4 linked regions of the Nothobranchius furzeri genome follow. The protein of the gene in region 2 purifies or fractionates together with the protein of the main gene of each other region. This does not show direct contact. Links are inferred from orthologs where the notes say so. Each region holds a gene or a part of one and is shown on either strand. Other genes may lie near its edges.

Evidence for each region.
Region 1: the proteins of ap1b1 (region 2) and AP-1 complex subunit sigma-2 purify together in Homo sapiens (affinity purification with mass spectrometry; 5 studies listed by BioGRID and IntAct, counting the BioPlex papers as one, with this or other methods). This does not show direct contact. The link is inferred for Nothobranchius furzeri from reciprocal best matches to the Homo sapiens genes AP1B1 and AP1S2.
Region 3: the proteins of ap1b1 (region 2) and eps15 purify together in Homo sapiens (affinity purification with mass spectrometry; 3 studies listed by BioGRID and IntAct, with this or other methods). This does not show direct contact. The link is inferred for Nothobranchius furzeri from reciprocal best matches to the Homo sapiens genes AP1B1 and EPS15.
Region 4: the proteins of ap1b1 (region 2) and ap1s1 fractionate together in Homo sapiens (co-fractionation; 6 studies listed by BioGRID and IntAct, with this or other methods). This does not show direct contact. The link is inferred for Nothobranchius furzeri from reciprocal best matches to the Homo sapiens genes AP1B1 and AP1S1.

The regions. Positions count from the first base shown.
Region 1 is NC_091749.1:41,411,820-41,416,939, forward strand, and holds AP-1 complex subunit sigma-2, read left to right. Parts: upstream 1-1,623; 5' UTR 1,624-1,730; coding exon 1,731-1,733; intron 1,734-2,176; coding exon 2,177-2,355; intron 2,356-3,790; coding exon 3,791-3,899; intron 3,900-4,002; coding exon 4,003-4,140; intron 4,141-4,291; coding exon 4,292-4,339; 3' UTR 4,340-4,807; downstream 4,808-5,120. UniProt on the Homo sapiens protein: Subunit of clathrin-associated adaptor protein complex 1 that plays a role in protein sorting in the late-Golgi/trans-Golgi network (TGN) and/or endosomes.
Region 2 is NC_091757.1:46,121,704-46,126,135, reverse strand, and holds part of ap1b1 (AP-1 complex subunit beta-1), read right to left. Parts: intron 4,305-4,432; coding exon 4,284-4,304; intron 2,196-4,283; coding exon 2,166-2,195; intron 2,089-2,165; coding exon 1,951-2,088; intron 1,876-1,950; coding exon 1,730-1,875; intron 1-1,729. UniProt on the Homo sapiens protein: Subunit of clathrin-associated adaptor protein complex 1 that plays a role in protein sorting in the late-Golgi/trans-Golgi network (TGN) and/or endosomes.
Region 3 is NC_091748.1:56,869,653-56,874,180, forward strand, and holds the end of eps15 (epidermal growth factor receptor substrate 15), read right to left. Parts: exon of another isoform or gene 3,595-4,528; intron 2,748-3,594; coding exon 2,607-2,747; coding exon of another isoform or gene 2,512-2,606; 3' UTR 831-2,511; downstream 1-830. UniProt on the Homo sapiens protein: Involved in cell growth regulation. May be involved in the regulation of mitogenic signals and control of cell proliferation. Involved in the internalization of ligand-inducible receptors of the receptor tyrosine kinase (RTK) type, in particular EGFR.
Region 4 is NC_091743.1:88,615,124-88,620,001, reverse strand, and holds the start of ap1s1 (AP-1 complex subunit sigma-1A), read right to left. Parts: upstream 3,027-4,878; 5' UTR 2,880-3,026; coding exon 2,877-2,879; intron 1-2,876. UniProt on the Homo sapiens protein: Subunit of clathrin-associated adaptor protein complex 1 that plays a role in protein sorting in the late-Golgi/trans-Golgi network (TGN) and/or endosomes.

The sequences.
Region 1 (5,120 bases), on a different chromosome or scaffold from region 2:
GATATTTAGATTTTCTTCAAATTTTGAAAACAATGCATCAGTTGTATTCCACATCACAGTTCCATGCTACTTTGTGTTGGTCTATTTAAGAAAATGTCAATAAAAACATTCACAAGGTTGTAAGGTGTGAAAATCTGTAAAAATCAAGGGTATGTTATTTTACAAAGCACTGAATATATATGATAATAATCATATTGATGATGAAAAATACATTTTATTTATTTCATCACTTCTTTATATTACGTTATTTATTTGGTTATTTATTTGATTTATCTTTCATGATACTGATGCTGTAATTTTGCACAACAGTAATTGTGACTTTTATTCTTTGAAATTTTTAGCATCGTATGATTGTGTTTTGTGGATAACTTTATGGTTAAATTGAGCTCCACGAAAAGTTCAATAGGATTTTTAAATTGTAATGACTCTAAATAACCTGCAACAGAACAAGCTAAAGATCATTCTTGCTCATTCAAAAGTCAGGACCTTACTGAGTAAATTCATTTATTTGACATCATCATATTAAAATATGTTTTTTCCATCAGATCACATAACCATTAACCTGGGCCAATGACCCTGTTTTTAACAGATTTGTGTGAAATGTATGTGTGTATATTTGTTGGTGGCTCCGCCCTTTCAGTCTGCTAGGCAACAGCATTTGTAGCATTTTTCAAACTGGAAGTGGGAGTGGAGTAATACTCTGGTAGGGGGTGACTTGCTCTTTAATATGTCTGTGTCCTTTGTGCTGTATAGTTCTGGAAACACAATTTTCATTTTTATTCATTGTTTTTAGTGGATGAAGTATTCAATAACAGCTTATTGCGTTTGTGTGTTTACCTGTAATCTTGTTATTATTTGTTTTCTTCCTTTTTCTCCAAGTGTGTGCGCTGCTGTAGCAAGTGAATTTCCCCACTGTGCGATCAATAAAGTATATTCTAATCAAAGTGTTTTTGGATTGTTGTTGTTGTACATTGAAGTTGCGAGACTTTCTTTATGAAAATTCTCTTCGAATAGTTCTTATTATATGCAAAATTATCTTTACTATTATTTGTTTAGAGCCGAAATAGAGACATATTTTAAGTGAAACATTTTAACACAAACATTAGAAAAACAACCATGACACGTTTTTGAAGACTTTTGTTGTTTTGTAATACCACAGCCAGCCACTTGAGGGCGACGAAAGTCCAGCAGAGGTCGGTTTTACAATTGAAGAATCTGAAAAGAAAACCAATGTGCGAGCGTGTGTGTGTGTGTGAGAGAGAGAGAGAGAGAGAGAGAGAGAGAGAGAGAGAGAGAGAGAGAGAGAGAGAGAGAGAGAGAGAGAGAGAGAGAGAGAGAGAGAGAGAGAGAGAGAGAGACTCTGCCCCTCACAACTGTTAATTTTACTTTACTCATTAATAGGAAATTACTGTGGGCGCATCTATGTAGCTGCTTAACTCTAAAAAAAGTCTTCGCTTCCTTGTGTGTTTGGTTGTTTCTTGTTGTTTTTAAAATAACACATTTAGGTTTCTGGTGGAAGTGAAATTCAGCACCTCTGATACAAAAATGTTTTCTGGATTGACGTACAACGTAAGGAATAACGGAACCTTTCAACCAATCACATTGCAGAATCTTTGCTGTGTTGACCAATCCCTGCGCTTGTTCTCACACCCAGCATTCGCTAGGCAGTTTAGCATCGAGCAGAAGGAGGAACTAATCATCTGACAGATAGAAGTGTCTTTTGGCTCTCTATGGTAATATTTTTAACTTTACTGTACTGAAGTTCAGTTCGTGTAAGTCACTGTTTTGCAGACCAAATTAAAAGTCATGAGTATTCAGTCTCGTTTGCTGTAGCTAAGCAGGCGTCGCAGGAGGGGGTGCAAATGTCACGAAACGTGGTTTAGATGTTAAAATAGGACAATTAAGCGACCTTAGCTAACGTGAGATAATCTAACGTTATGTTAAAGCCTCACGGGTGTGTTATGTACTGAGTCTAAAAGTCGTTTGATCGAATGGTACCTCCATGTATCCTAGTAAACAGTTCAGTCAAATCTAATTTCACTGACTTTTTGCCTCACGTTCATTGCTGCGTGATTAGTTCAGTTTCCCGCATCCATATACCCTCAAACATCCAGTCTTCCTTTGTTCTTCGTATTTATTTGTATCTACATGTCGACCATCATTATTCCTTCCTCAGATGCAGTTCATGCTGTTGTTCAGCCGGCAGGGGAAGCTGCGGTTACAGAAATGGTATGTTCCTCTGTCTGACAAGGAGAGGAAGAAGATCTCGAGAGACCTGGTCCAGACCATTCTGGCCAGGAAGCCCAAGATGTGCAGCTTCTTGGAATGGAGAGACCTCAAGATTGTGTACAAAAGGTAAGTTAAAAGTTTTAGAGGGCATTCAAGTACCCTCACACTTGATGATGCATGCACACACTTCTGTTTTTCCTCAAATTGACCATAATCTGCTTAAAATATTCACTTACAGGCTTTTTCACATCAATTTAGTGAGACCTGCAAAAACAAAAACGTTTCTCTATGATTTTCACTACAGCTAATTTATATAAACATTAATGTGAGAATAAAGTCTTTTCAACTGGATGCTTATTGTTACTTGTTGCCATGTTAAAATATTTATAGATTTATTTTAAAAACTGCATCTTCATCAGCAAATTCAGAAATAGTCTAGAAAAAGTTGGCTAAAGTAGCTCATACATACCGTGTTTATGTAAATGGCACATTTAAAAACATCGTGACAGCTGACCAAAGTACTTCACAAAGGAACAAGGATGCTCCGTAGTTACAGGACAGACAACAATGTCTGACATTACGGCATCACATCTAGTTGATAGAAACACAGCAAGGTATAATATCTAAAACAATGCACCACATGAACAAGGAGGTTAAAAGAGGAGGGGCTTTGAAAAGCAAAAACACAATAATGAAGACACGTGAGCAGCAAAACATAATCCAATAAAACACACATACACGGCAGATGGTAAAAGATGAAAAACCTAATTACTGACCAAAAGATAAATGATAAAAGTGGGCCTTAAGAACAGACTTAAAACGGGCTATTAATGGGGCCTGCCATACATGTAACGAGTGAATTTAGAGTTTAGGATTGGCAAATTAGACTTGCTCCTAGGGGTGGGCAATATAAACGATATCAGGTAGAAATGATAAAAAATTGGCTAATGATAGTGTTTTTGGCTATATCGCAATACCGCGATATTGCGGAGGAGGAGGCCTATATGCCTCAAGTGGCATATATTTGTCACATGAGGATATTTAAAAGCATGTCAATTTGACATGTATTAACAGAGGGGAAAAAAATATTGCAATATATATCGTTACCGCACATGCTTCAGATTATATCGCAATATAGATTTGAGGCCATATCGCCCAGCCCTACTTGCTCCTGAGACTTGTAGTGCAATTTAGGGACACACAGGAGCAGGTGATCTGCAGACCTCAAAGATGTGGAGGAGACATAGGACAGGATCAGCTCTAAAGGGGGAGCTGTACCATTACAGCCATCACACACAAAAGTTAAAACATGTAACTGAACTCGGAAACAGATTGGAAGCCAGTGCTATTCAGGATGGGAGTCATGTGGCCGCATCTGGACATGTTTGTAAGGAATCCAGCTGCTTGATTTGTGCCATAGAGGATCATGTGAGAAACCGTTTTAGGATTTCATTTTATTAACAATTACAAACATGCATGTAAGTTGTGAAAATACAAATGCTGTCCCACCCTTTTTGCTATTATTGATCTTTGCATGTCTGCTCTCTTCATACATAAATAGATATGCCAGTCTGTACTTCTGTTGCGCCGTTGAGGATCAAGATAACGAGTTGATCACCCTGGAAATCATCCATAGATACGTGGAGCTTCTGGACAAATATTTTGGCAGCGTGAGTTTTGCAAATATTACACATTTGTAGTGCTGAGAAGCTGCAAAGATGGAATCTTCCCTGACCTTCTGTAGTTTTTTTATATGGTGCTTTTGTCCTATAGGTGTGTGAGCTTGATATTATCTTCAACTTTGAGAAGGCCTATTTTATCCTGGATGAGTTCTTGCTGGGCGGAGAGGCCCAGGAAACATCCAAAAAGAATGTGCTGAAGGCCATCGAGCAAGCCGACTTATTGCAGGAGGTACGATCATTTCCTAAACACCACATCACCGTGTGCCTGAAAGCTGTCTTCTTTGCAAGTTAAAGCTTGTGTTGACTTTGTGGCTAACGCTGATATTTTTATGTATAAAATGTGTGACAGGTGTCCTGATACTTTCTCTTTACTCTTACAGGAAGCAGAGGCCCCACGTAGTGTCTTAGAAGAAATTGGGTTGACATAAATCCCCCTGCTTCTCACACTGATCTGATCACATCCATGCCTCCATTGTGTCTTCTCCTCATTTACCGTGTCAGTGTTGTGTTTGTATAACCACCATGAGTGTACTGTATTATGTACTATCCTGTAATGTCCTTTCAGTGTGGTGCCAACTGTGGTGTTATTGTGTCTCCTCACTACGAGCTCCGTCACCGTCATCTGCAGCATTTAGCATCACTTCTCGCTCTGCAGAGCAATGTAGCATGAACATGACAAACCCAGCATGATATTAAGATCATTCATCATCACCGATGGTGGAGTTTGATGTTTTAAGTCCTGCTGGCACCACTCGTCTTTTCCCATCACAGGGATTTATGTTAGCGATGGCAGAATCTGTGGACAGAGCATCTCACCTCAGCTGGTCATGGTGATTTTCACTACAGCAGAAGAATGCAGTTTAGTTATTAAAACGCCAAATAGCGAACAGCAAAAAGTGGTTCAAATCTGTTTACACGGACTCTCAGGAGTCCTCGCTACATTAAATTGCATCAGTTGTTTCATAGATTCAAATATGAGGTTTTGTTCTGTTTGGATACTAGAAACACATTTCAGAAGTCTTCTTTATGCCTTTTTTATTTGTCTACATTTTCCTTTTTATGAGAGGTAGGTGATTGAATTTGAGTGAAGCTTCAAATCCTGCGTTATTTTTCTTAAAGGTTATTAGATTCTGTTACAAATTACAGTAACATGACCACCTTGGGATTAAAGAATCCAAAACAAGTCTTGGGATTATACTTTGCATAGGA
Region 2 (4,432 bases):
ATCTCATCTCCTTGCTGTGCGTTCAACATTTTTACACCTTAAAGGGACTTTACAGACTTTTGAATTTTTATGCTCGTGATTGCCCCCTCAGGCCAAAAGCGTAACGGCAGCTTCAATAGTAGGCTCGTGCACGAGGCGTGCATGCTGTACGTGCACACTCCTTGACAAAAATGACAGCTGAGACAGTCCTGTGTGTGTGTGTGTGGGGGGGGGGGGGGGGGGGGGGACAGGAGAACGCGCAGCTAATTAAATGGTAAAATGGTAAATGGCCTGTATTTGATATAGCGCCTTCTAGAGTCCTGGAACCCCCCAAGGCGCTTTACAACACAATCAGTCATTCACCCATTCACACACACATTCACACACTGGTGGGGATGAGCTACAATGTAGCCACAGCTGCCCTGGGGCGCACTGACAGAGGCGAGGCTGCCGAGCACTGGCGCCACCGGTCCCTCCGACCACCACCAGCAGGCAACGTGGGTTAAGTGTCTTGCCCAAGGACACAACGACAGCGACAGACTGAGCGGGTCTCGAACCTGCAACCTTCCGATTGCGAGGCGAGCACTTAACATTTATGATCTTTCTCTCTAAAATTTCATGCTTAAATAATTTGGTTCTGTACCTTTCTCTTCAGCACAGCCGACAAAGGTTTATGATGGGTCAGTCCTCCTGCATGCTCAGATCATTCCCTTCCCTTGCTTGGAAAGTTGTTCCAAAACGAAAGTTGAACCCACATCTTTTTTATCTGTGAATTCAATGCCGTTCGGCGAGTCTCAAATAAAAATTTGGGCATCTTACGGAAAAAAATATACCATTAATGTAAAAAAGAAACTCCAAATAAATTATGTTCACATCCAGAATCGGACCCAGGTCTTCTGCATGGGAGTCAGACATCTTACAAGGTGAGCTACACTCTAGTAGCATTGACACTCTCTGTAACTTTTATATCCTTGACGACACCTGAAACAACGTCAAACCAAAGAACGGTTCGAAACGAAAATGGCTATTTTGTTGCTAATTTGCAGGAAATATCTAGAAGAAAGTTCTACAGAAAGTAGCTAAGCGTCCTCAGAAATGTAGCTAGCTTTGTCACTAGGCATTAGGAACAGCGACAAAGTGGCACTACCTCACTCTCTGCTGCTAAAGCTACTGATAGCAAATGCTACGGGCGATGCCTGAGCGTGAACGCGCATGAAGCAGCCTGCTCGACCCGAGCATCTCTCTTTTTCTGTGATCTTACAGAAAAACAGGCAATCACAGTAAAAATGCCAGGGCTCATTCTACAGGACCAGGGCATTGCAGTAGAATGCATGTAGAAGAAATGTATTATTTCTATACATGTTTGGGCTGTCAAACTTCCATAATATCCCTTTAATCCAACAGCTGAAACGTCTCCCAGCCCTCATTAGTGTCTACAGGAGTGATTCATCACTAAATTAAACAAATCAGCTGTGCTCATGATCTAAAACATGCAGGAAACGTGCTGGAAGCAGACTGTAGTGCCAGATATGTCAGCTCATTTTATTCCATTTCCAAGTCCACTAGACCGGACCGACACTCCAAAGTTGCAAATGAGGTATTCTGGCCAGAGGGCTGTGGGGGTCTGAGTGACACTTCATTAAAGGGTCATTTTAGCACATTTTAGCTCAAGAAAATTATTTAAAAATATGAACAAGTTGCAAAGTATCCCTTTAAATGAAAATAGCTGTAAGATAAAAGCTCTTCCTACCTGTTTCTGTTGAACTGGATGGCAAAATCAGTCATGACGCTCATCGCTTTGTTGATCAGGGTCATCTCCATTTGGATGATTCCGGCCCGGCGGGCAAAAGTGCCGGATATTTCCAGGCCCTTTCCCTTCATGGCTGGGAGCCAAACCTAAACAGAGAGGCTGGTTTTAAAAGCCACCCATGATGAACTCCTTTAGGGAATCATTCCAGCACATGGACTCACCGTTTTGGGGGGGTTGTAGGCTCCCATGGGCATCCCAACTCCACCTCCAAGATCAAACAGGTCATCCAGGCCGCCGCTAACAGGAGCGCTGAACGAGGCTGGCGATGCGGCTGGAGCAGCACCAAAACCAGCTCCCATCTGTGGGTCACAGAGAACACGTGAAATGGTGCATTGCATTAGCGATGAAGGCCTAAGAAAACTAGAAAACGACTTACAGCAGAGCTTCCTCCAAGGTCTCCGCCAAGCTGAACACGAGGAGAAAGGAAAAGAAAAACTCATTGTGAACAAAACATCATAAATGAATAAAAGTTGATGTTAAAACTACAGGATCTTCTGAGGGGGTGGAGGAGGATGAGAGGAGGGGTGGTCTGTAACAAATAACAGTAGGGAGATGTCTGCAGACAAACCCAAGTGATTGGTTTCATTCAAATGCAGCTCGATAACTTTGTCTTTAGCGTTTTAAAGACTAAAAACAAAGATCAAACCTAAAGAGAGACGGAACACTGGAACCCTAACTAGATGGAGCAGGAAAACAAGCAGAGCAACACAAAGCTACCGAGAGGACATGGGACAGCAGAGGGACAAGTGGTGTTGAGCTCTAGGCTGATGCTGGCCTTTACTGGTCCAGCGTGCTCCTCCAGGACCAACCTCAGTGGGGCTGTAATCTGGGGACGATGAGGACTGATGTGGAACCTGAGGTGACCGAGTGTCCGAGCGCAGGGGAATGGGCAGCTGATCAGAAGATGAACGATCCAAAGACAACAGAGATGGAGTGAGACTTAACATGATAAATGTCACGACAATATGAGATGATAGTGTATGGAAACTACGGGTAAGTGAATAAAGAGCCCACGCTGTGCTGATCGTATCACACGGGCTTGTGCGAGTGCAAGACTCTACGAGAATCTGTAGGAGTTGCGTTCTCCTGGTCTTTAGAACACGTTTTTATAGGCACCACTTAACAGACGCTTTGAGTTCGTCAACGTAACGACAAGTAAGGCTGAATGATTTTGTGAAAATTCATCAGATTGATTCACTTCCACGCAATAATCACAACGTACAGTAATATTTACAAACATGACAGGAAATGCCATCACACCATCACCACATGAAAAGTTATTACTCAAATAAGCACAAAAAGCGCTGCGCTAACACCATATTTACCTCAACTCCACAAAGATAGTTTCTTGGTAATTCCCTTTCCCCTGTTGCAGGAAGCGGGCAAATGAGACTCGGCCACTAAATGAGCAACGGCGACAGATAACCACAGCTATGACCAATATATACAGTAGAAGTGCCACAGAAAAAGAAAATTACCAATTAAAAATAAATAAAACTATATCCCGCTGCAAACTCAAGCATCAGGGTCCCGTAACCTCCACAGCCGCTCGCTGCTGTTGCTGTAGCTCTTCTAAAACCTTGAGATAACCCTAGATGTGTAAAATATTTATATAAAAGGTCAGGATCAGTCACGATCGCTGCAAAAAAATTTTTTATGAAATAAATACCTGTTTTGACGATTACAAGATCACATCGTTTAAAAAAATTAATGAATCGCAGTTTCTATTGAAAAACGAAGATTGTTCAGGCCCAATGACCAATAATCTGACTTTTTAAATTTGTGCCAGAAATAAAATTGTCATCGAGACATAAAACAACTCCCAAGAGAGTCAGGAGTTTTGACCCTTCACCAGACGGTGATCATTAGGAAAAAGCTGGAACATTTAATGACAATAACGAAAATGTATTTCAAAGATGTTAATTTATGCGAGTTCTATCAGTAGATAACCATAAAAGACCAAAAACAATGACAACTGTTATTTGTAACGGGTTACATATGAGGGCATAAACAAAACACCTCCATAGCACCCTTTACACATCACCTCCCCGCCTGATCGTATCTAGAAGACTTGGAACAGGAAAAGGAGGACTGAAATAGTGAGATGGTCCTAACAGACTCATCAGCTGCCGTTTTCATGGTGATTTCAGTGACGCGACGAGAGTAGAGTAGCGTCCCACCCTGTTAACATTCTCTGAGTGTACACAGCTTGTAGGCGGCTCTGACCCACTTTTAATTGTTACATCAACAACACTCTTTGGCTGGGTGGACTGACCAATTAGAGCAGACCGGGCTGTTAAAAAGAGCTTTTAAGAGACGAGGTGACAAGGGGGGGGGGGGGGGGAACGGCAAACGTGCTGCTTTTGCTTGATGCTATTCTAGTAGAATCCCAAAATAACTCCACTGTTACAAAAGCACTGTCTGGGCTCTTTTAGATGAATATTTAGAGGATGGGCTTAAATGACTGGTAAAGATCATCCCTCCTTGTAGTTACCGGCTCAGACTCCTCCCCCATCTGCAGGAGCAGCATATTAAACAAAGAAAGAACACGCAAGTTCAAGAAAAAATAAAGAATGTCAATTAAAAATAAATAACAGTTATTTGGTTAAAAAGCTGCTTTAGGTAGAAGAGTTAATCAAACTG
Region 3 (4,528 bases), on a different chromosome or scaffold from region 2:
CAGAAAACAGCAAAGAACCAACAGAAAAACAAAAAGAACACCTTTTGAATCATGAACTTAATGAACTCAGTCTGGATTCACAACAGTCCTAAAACGGCCATTGTTAGAATAACCGACAATCTGCTTCCTGCTACAGGCTCAACACATTCTCCTATAGTTCTGGATCAATCTGCAGTTTTAGACACATTTCATGTTTCACAATCTTCATATATGGGACAGCTCTCTCTCCTGGGCTAAATCAAACCTGTCTGATAACAATCACCTATGTTAACACCTCTTAAAGCAGTTTTGGAGTGCCCCAAGGCTGCGTACTTCCACCACTTCTCATTAACTTTTACTTGACCTCCCTAGACCACCTCATCTTCAACATCCACACACATTTACATTAGTACAAAGTTATCCACCCTCATCTACTTGAGGGACACCTAATTTGAAAAGCTTAAAGAAGCTGGAGATTTATTTTTATTATTGAGAAAGGATGCCAGCTTTATTGTATTTATTAATACTCACATCCAGAACTTTTCTTGGAATCATCTTGGACTTTTTTTTTTCATGTGAACCAAATCTGACCTGCCTTTTTTACTTCACTCTGTTGTGTAAAGTATACATTGTCAAAATATTAGAAATGCAAACAAGAAACTTAAGCCTTGAAATATTCATGTGATTGTTTTTATTTAGTATAAATACTGCTAAAAGGTGGCTGCTATGCTTTCCAGGATATTAGCAAACATTGCAAATGTCCACAATGTGAATTAAATTGTATACTTAAGATAAATAAATATATTAATACATCATCTGCATAAAAATAACACTACAGAAACAACAAACAATGATTTCTTTTCTGTATTTATTTAGTTTTCGTTAAATGCATTACATAGTCTGGCAAAATCTCCCAATAATGATTTTACTTACAAGTTAGAAAATACAAAATAAAATACACTTAGCTTGAGTTTAAGAAGACTTAATGAGTAAGCCCACAAGCATAAGTGGTTCTGGGTTTGTCTGTACAAATGTTATAGTGGCATTTGAAAGTGAAAAACTCTGGCATAACACCAGTCAGAGAACACACATGCAAATCTCTCCAATTTACAATAAACTTCAACAAGACACTGCATTTAGTAGAAAGTGCTGCATTAACTAGACAGTAAGTTGGTTTAACATGAAAGGAAGACATGTGGATAAAAACATGAGCTAAAATCATAAGTGCCATCCTTTATGCTGCTATGTTTGGTCAGACAAGTGACATGAAAACAAAGGCTTCAGCTGCCTTTTCCCTCATCAGAAACCTCCTAGCATCAGAGTTAAATAACACCCGTGGGAGAAGTGAAACGTCTCCATCTAACCTGCTACTGTGTATGTTTAAACGGTAGTGGGACACTTTGAAAGATGGGCTTTCTGCTCTCAGGTAGAAAACACAAGACATCGTTCGCTGGACTTCAACAAGACTCTGAAATTGATCAATTCTGCCAAATATGAAATGTCTAGTTTTAAAAAAAAATCCTTCAGGACATATAAAGTTAGCACTAGAGCTAACGTCAACATAAAAAGCACCAACTGTGGCACAGCTTCAAATGTCACGTGCTAAAGTGACAATTGCAGTGTTACATAAGAATGAATGATCTCTCATATTAGAGCTAAAATAAGAGAAATAGAAAGGATCTTAGGCAAAAATCTGCTTTTAGGGAGGCTAACCCAAGAGACCGTGGCTGAAAATTTTGAATTTATACTTTTTAAATTGCCGCATTTATAAAATTTTTCAGATATTTAACTGAAATGTTGAAAACATTGGAGGAATCAAATAGAAAACTCCAAACTTTGTTTCAAATTAGATTTTTCTGTTGTGGTGTATCTTAAGTGTTTAATGCCATTTAAAATACGAGTGTAGATTTCTTCAACACCTTGAACAATGGTAGATCAAATGCTAGGTGAGGTAAGCTAGCACTGAGAATTCAAAGACACTGAATAACGTAGAAGCGGAGTGTGATGGTCGGACTTGTTTTAGAAATCCCGATTTGCTGCCCTGATGGGAGAAAGAAAATCCCCATCTGCTCTTCACTGCAACACTGAATTTCAAATGAAGTGCGTTCTAATAATGATGTTTAAATGTAGCATCAGAAGGCAGGAAAGTGCCCTTGTTTCTATGGTTACAGATGAGCAGAAGGAAAGTTTGGGCACATCTGGGTTCGATAAACTCAGCATGCCAGCTAAAATCTGGTTAAATCCTCAGAGCTGAGGTGTGAATAATAAAATGTAGTGAGTTTTCTTTCTAGGGAAATTCTGTCTCGCTTGCATGTTTTAGTAAATCACATTCTGAACGTAACATTTGCAGTCATGTTTTAAAAACCTTAGGATTCATTTTCTCTGACTGGAACAATCTACTCCTCCATACTGGGATGTTGTCCTTCAGCCAAACCTGCAGAGGCCAACAGGATGGAAAAACAGCGCTCCGTAATGCCAGTGAACAGTGAGCAGTCAGGGGGAGGCGGAGGGGGAGCAGCTAGTGCTGCTGCATCAGTCCTGTGCAGTCTCCACCTTGCTTTGGTGCTCTCTGGGTTGGGCCGGGCTGTGCCGTGCCAGACCCCCCCGAGCCGAGGAGGAGAGCCTCCTCAGGAGAGTTCTGACTTGCTGAGAGCGATGGCGAGCTCCAGGTCCTCTTGCTCCTGCTGGGTGAGCCTTGCAAGTCGCTCCTTTTCCTCTCGCTCGCTCTCGCGCTTTGCCCACTCTATCATGTCTTCCTCGGTTGGATACTGCTCCATGAAACAGAAAAAAAATAAAACACAGAGCACACGTTGGATGCTGTTTCCTCTGAATCATCCCACACTGATTTCAAACTCAACGTTTGGGCTCTTGGTTGTTCACATTTAGTTATTCATTTTATTCTCTCACAACCAGCTGCAGCTGAAGAACTGAATACAAACTTTCATGTCAAGAGTGGCAATTTTTTGTCCCTCAGGTGAACGACTTTGTCAGTTTCACAGAAAGCATGTGATCAAAATAAAAGCAGGAACTGAAATGGAGACACCCAGTCAAGCTGGGATTTCCAGTGAGTCATGTGATCGGTGTCGGACCAGTTTAAAGGATCCAAAGCCACAGAACGATGGCAGCAACCCATGGCTTCAGCTGGGTAATCCTGTTAACATGCACAGTACCAGCAGGCTCTCCCCATGGACAAACAGAAGCTACAAAACTCACTGAATGTGTGTAAAGCCATGCAAAGGAAAGCCATGACCATGTTGACAGCTAGCTAGACGTTTTGGGTGGACGACGTGCAAAGCATGCATGATGAGACGTCTGAGACGTAAAATGAACCCGAGTGCTCATGCAGGTCATTTCTATCAGTAACTTCTGTTCAGAACAAAAGGAGAGCGGTTTGTACACCAGATCTGTTTGGTGATGACTTTATTTGGGGGTTAGCCCTTAAAAACAAGATAATGGATTGCTTTAGCTCCCTTTTAAACACCATGCAGACATAAAATGAGCTGCAGAATCATAAAAGCTGCTCAAAAGCATCTTATAATCTGTCTAAAACATGCTTTAGAAAAATATGTGCGGTGCATGCTCAACGTCTGGTAAATAAACTAGAGATGCCAGAGATGGTGCCCTTGATTTAACACTTTATTAAACTTTTCTTCAAACAGAGATTTAAAAACAAAGAGACAATACAAGCAACACAACGCTGATCAGACAGGGGCTGACATAAATCAACGGATGAGCAGATGGATGCATGGAGAGAGGGGTGCATGAATCGATAAATAGCAGCATGAGTAAAAGGTGAAAAAAACACTGATTTGAGGGATGACGGAGGCAGTTTGTAATCGAGCATCAGTCAGCCAGTCAAACACACAGTGTGTGTGGGTTAGGGTCGGACAGAAACATGCAGGTGGGGTCATTAAAAAAAATCATCACCGTCTTCTCGATCATCCAAACCCAAATTCACAACTTCTGCAGCTTTAGGGGGATGTTTCAGAAGCAGTTACAGCAAAGGTGCACTTGGGTGCAGTTTTTAATGGAAAAGGCCTCTGTGGTAAAACTTCCCTTAAATATGGTGATTTTGCGAAACAAGGTGTGAAATATTTCTTTCACCCGTGAAGAGTTTGGCTAAAGCTAGTTAGTTAAAACCCGTCTCTGAGCTTCAGCAGACACAGAATAAGCCGCTGGACCTCAATACACACGTTCACTCAAAAAGCAGCGTAAAATCTTTCTAATGCAGTAACCTAGTTTAGGTTATTCTGCTTTAACATGCGTGCGTGCACAGGGTGCAACATCAAGCAGCCTCTCATCTAGAAACTACTTTAGCTCTGAAATTGTGACTGTGGCTACAAATCAATTCAAATATATTAATTTATATAGTTTTAGGATATTTCTGTACATTTTTATGTCACAAATTACCAGAGAGCATCTATCCAACTACAAAAAAAGCCTTAAATTTAATCAAAATCTCCCAAATAAATGTGGCAAATTAGTGATTTTTAAGAAAATGGCATTAATAACAAACAGCAAACTGCAGGTGGGATGAGTGGAAAACATC
Region 4 (4,878 bases), on a different chromosome or scaffold from region 2:
AAGCAGAGTTAGCTTGTTGCTGTTCAGGTGTGTGAGGAGAATATTTGAAGCTCTGCAGTAAAAAATGTCTTCAGTCTGGAGGGAGAGAGTCTCTGCTTGAAGGTGGAGACTGAGATGTTCCAACCAGCAGCTCAGCTGACCAGATGGCAGCTGAAACTGGTGGTGAAGCAGGAACCCAGATCTGAACCCTCTGGTTCTTCTGAGACTGAAGTGAGTGATGATGATGATGATGATGGTGTGTATCTGGACTCTGAGCTAGTCAGACTCTGGCTCTGAGACTGGAGATGAAGATGATCCAGAGGAGGAGGCAGCCCCACCTCAAAGAAGGCTGCTGCAGTCCCCTGGCTAGATTTTTCTCGCATGGGGGATGTTGCGAGTCCCCACATGCCAAAGACAGTGGCAAGCTGAAACACACTGGACTGGCTTGTGCGAGCAAAATCAGCCAGCCGACATGAGTTGGGCTGCAGGTCAAAAAACTGTGGTCAGAAACAAGGGTCACACAAGGGTCACAGGGACGAGGACAGAACTGGGCGAAAGGTCAGGTTGACTGACCCAACCTCTTTGCCCCACCCCTGGCTTGGAAAGATGGGATTGGAGGAGAACAGAGTGAAGACAAGCCCATCAGATCCAGAAGCCCTCTCGGGAACATTGGAGAGAAACTGAAGAATGCTGCAAAAGATGATGTAATGACCTGTGTTAAGAAGAATGCTGCATGTAATGACACCAAATGTTTTGTGTTGAGCTACAAAGTGTGTATCTGGTAAATGACCCCATGACCTAAAGCTGGCCCAGGAAGGGTATATAAGAACAGCTCTGAACAGCAGAGATATATAGATTGAGAGCGGACAGCAGCTGGGGCAGAGGACAAGAAGAGACAGAGCAGATTTGGAGGGGTCATCCCCCGTCCAAACCTGGATGGGGGATGACAGACTTTTTTGGAAGAGGTAACTTGGGAGTTTTCATTCTGAGAAGACAGGAGCTAGTGTAAACTAACTCTTTTTTAATCATTTTGAACTAATTCCTCCTTGGGGGATAGCAGTTGTTTTTTATTTACCCATTTTTGTATTTTGATTTTGTAATAAACCTTTTTTGAAAAAGAAACATAATCCTGATTCTTTCAGGTTTTCTCTAAAGCTTCATGAGTGGAAGCCCTGATCATTAATTGCACAGAGGTAAGCACATTAATTATGGGTTCTGGAATTATCAGGACTTACTTTACGGTTTGTGACAGATTGATATAAAGAAACCTTAAGATAACGGGATTGCTTAAAAAGAAGTGAGCTACTACAGAAGGAAAGGTCTTACATATTATTTCACCTTTAAAATAAAAGATATGATTCTAACTTAGGACGCCCAAACCAGGATCTAATACCATAATACTCACCGACATCCCCATCGAACCCTGATGGATGCTCCGTCTCATAAGTTCTAACGGAACTGGGTTTTAAAGGAACCGATAAATGGGACGGGCACATAACAATGTTGATTTTAGGCCATATCGCCCAGTCATAGTAGCGCGTTTCAGGTAAACCTGTGATGAAGTAATCCATCTGCTCATGCGTATTTCCCCAAAGTAGCACATTTCGACGAGCAGCACAGAGAGTCGAAACACCGGTGTTCCACCAGTAATCAGCACCACCATTGGTTGGTTTCTAGTTAACCGGCTATTAACCATTAAGGGGCATCAATAGCCTTTTAAAGAAATGTTGGTAAACATGCATCCCTAATAAGTCCGCATTAAAGAGCACTAACAACACATCGTTCAGAGGGCAGAGAATGGAGGGTTGTGTGAATTTCTTGGAAGATGATTGGTTGACCAATCATGCTTTAGGACAGTATTTATAACTGAATGCATTAATCGGTCCTTGTCAGACACGTGACCTGCATGTCAACCACACCTCTTTAGCGCCATTTTAGGTGTATGACTGGCATTGCTAGGGTAAGCTGCAGCTGACAAATAATGCTCAGATGTTCTGATGGGAATCGTCTGATGGATCTCGTTACCTCTGCGATGTTCTCCGTGCAGAACGTTTAAAATGTCTGCACAACTGCACGCGTCAGAGTAATTCCTGTCTGTCAGAATGACCAACAGCCTTGAGATTTCTGTCAAAAACTGAACGGTTAAATACAGAAAATATCCAGTTAACACGACTCCAGCCTACATTTTATTTTTTGCCTTCTTGTGAAGGTGGCATGGCCGCCTTTCACACAACAGGTGTACCGGGTTTAGCTCACAAAGCTTCCTTTGTTCAGACACCTAGCTATTCCATCATGCAACGCGCTACAGCACCCCATATGTCACCTGACAAGGACCGATACATAAATGTGGAAATAAACATATTTCTTACCAACTATTTAAAATAGCTATTTTTTCTGCATTTTGTCATTTATTTATAATTTATTCCCGCCTTTTATTTTTCTATTCTATGTCAGTTTTGGCAAGATGGGTCTGAAAACCCAAACGGCTTAAGTGAAGAATGAATACTCCATCCGAGAACATTCGGCCTTTTAGAATGAATCGGCTTTAGCGAGAAGTGAACGGAACTCACTGACTGGAAGTGCCATCGACCCGAACATGAACGGGAACGGGTTGGATCTTGTGTGCTGGTGTCGTGTAACTAAATAAACGCATTGAGCTGAATCGAATCCTGGAACTGAAGCTGAGGAAGGGAGCGGGTCTTAAAACACCTCAACCAAGCAACAGCGACTTAGCCCACAGTAAGAACGGCACCATGATCCGGGTCGTCTCCCCTCTCCAGGCCCGTTCGCCAGGTGAGCGGAGCGCAGGTGGGCACTTCCTGAATTGCTGACACCTTATCGGCATTAGCACAAGTTAGCACCCGGCACTTTCCACCGATTGAGACGCATCAACTCACCATTCTGAACGTGCCCCCAACGTCACAGACACCCTGTGCAGCCTGAAGTTAGTAGCTCAGACGATAATTAACGATAAAAGTCCATCTCCGTGTCTAACAGGACACAGCCGAACGAGAGGTACCACCGTACCGAGCACTTCCGCCTCCACTGAGCATGCGCACTTCAGACTCCGCTTTTTGCACTATTACACATTCGAGGCCTCTTTTATTGTCAAACAAATGAATTATCATAGAGGAGGGTATATAACAGTACAAAAAAGCTGAAAGAAATTGCATGCACGAAACACACACACACACACACACACACACACACACACACACACACACACACACACACACACACACACACACACACACACAGTGAGAGAAAACATTCATATATGTTCTTATTTGTATATTTATTATTGTAATGATATGTATGTCGCCTCTGTCAGTGCGCCCCAGGGCAGCTGTGGCTACATCGTAGCTCATCCCCACCAGTGTATGAATGTGTGTGTGTGTGTGTGAATGGATGAATGATTGATTCACTGTAGTGTAAAGCGCTTTGGAGTCCTTACTCTGAGGGGCGCTATATAAGTGCGGATCATTTATGTAACGATCCTGAAATGTGTATTAAATATGTACATGGTTTGTTTTAGTGTGTGGCGAGGGGGTGGGACTGAGTAAACACTCGCTTCTTCCCACTCCCTTTGGGCTAAGACTTTTTTCCTTCATTTGTGTTTCTTTTTTCTCCTTTTTACTGTTTATTGCTTATAAAATTATTGTCTAATGTTTAAATACTTTTACTTGTACTTGAGTAAAAATAATCAAAGTATTGGTACTCATACTTGTGTAGGAAATTTTAGTACTCTTTCCACCTCTGGCTGTACCACATTGTCCTGATGATTTCCTTTGTGATTCTTTTGTAGCTACTTATTATCAAAACGGTGGGAGAGGACTTTGGTATGAGAACTCACAAATACTGGATGATTACATTTTGGGTGTGAATAAAATTAAATAAAACGGGTGTGATACCTCCTTCCTCTCTGAGGGCATGAACAAAGGTATGCTAGAGCCTGGATTTGGGAGTTTTACCAATATGTCATTGGCGTACGTATAGGCTGGTTTTGTGCCATTTGTGGTTATACTTTTCAGCTCTTCTTGTTAGAAAATCTGAGCTAAATGTTGAAAAAACAAATTGAACAAAAAAAAGCTATCATCTTACTTTTTTATAGGACTGCTTTGACCATTCACATTCACTGACATGAATTTATAGTGTTCATGAATTTTCCTGCGGTGTGTTTTCTGTACCTGTAATCCTGTTCCCCCTATCTAAACTGTCCTTACTGAGAACCGTCGACCGATGTCTTAAAACTCCCACCTGGGAGAAAAAACAAAGTCCCATGAAAACAGTGAAGAGATATGACCACAGAGTGGGGCTCTTCATCAACTTACTACCAGAAGCAGGGGATTTTACACCAGCCAGTGTGTGGGCGATCATTTATACACTGAAACAGACTCCTTTTTAAATAACCAATAAAATCATGGGACTTCCATGAATACTGAATTATTAGCATACATAAAAGAATGTCTGATTGGTTCTGGTTTATGGGTCTAATTAGATTAAACCATCTTTTGTCATGCTGACCCTTCCACCTTTGCTGGATTTCAGACCCTTCAGTGATATGAGGTACTCTTTTAAAAAGAAATTAATAATCTGAAAGACCATACCACGTTTTTTTTTTTAAATAGCACATTTAAAAACTACGCAACAGCTGACTAAAGTGCTGAACATAAAAACAGTACGGCAATAATTCAAAAGAAGGATTGAAATAAAATATGGAGTCCATCCAACCATCCGTTTTCAGCTGCTTATTCAGGGTCGGGTCTCGGGGGCAGCAGCCGTAGCCAAGAGGCCCAGACTTCCCTCTTCCCAGCCGGTTGGGCCAGCTCCTCCGAGTGAAGCCCAAGGCGTTCCCTGGCCAGCCAAGAGACAGTCCCCTCAGCGTGTCCTGGGTCTTCT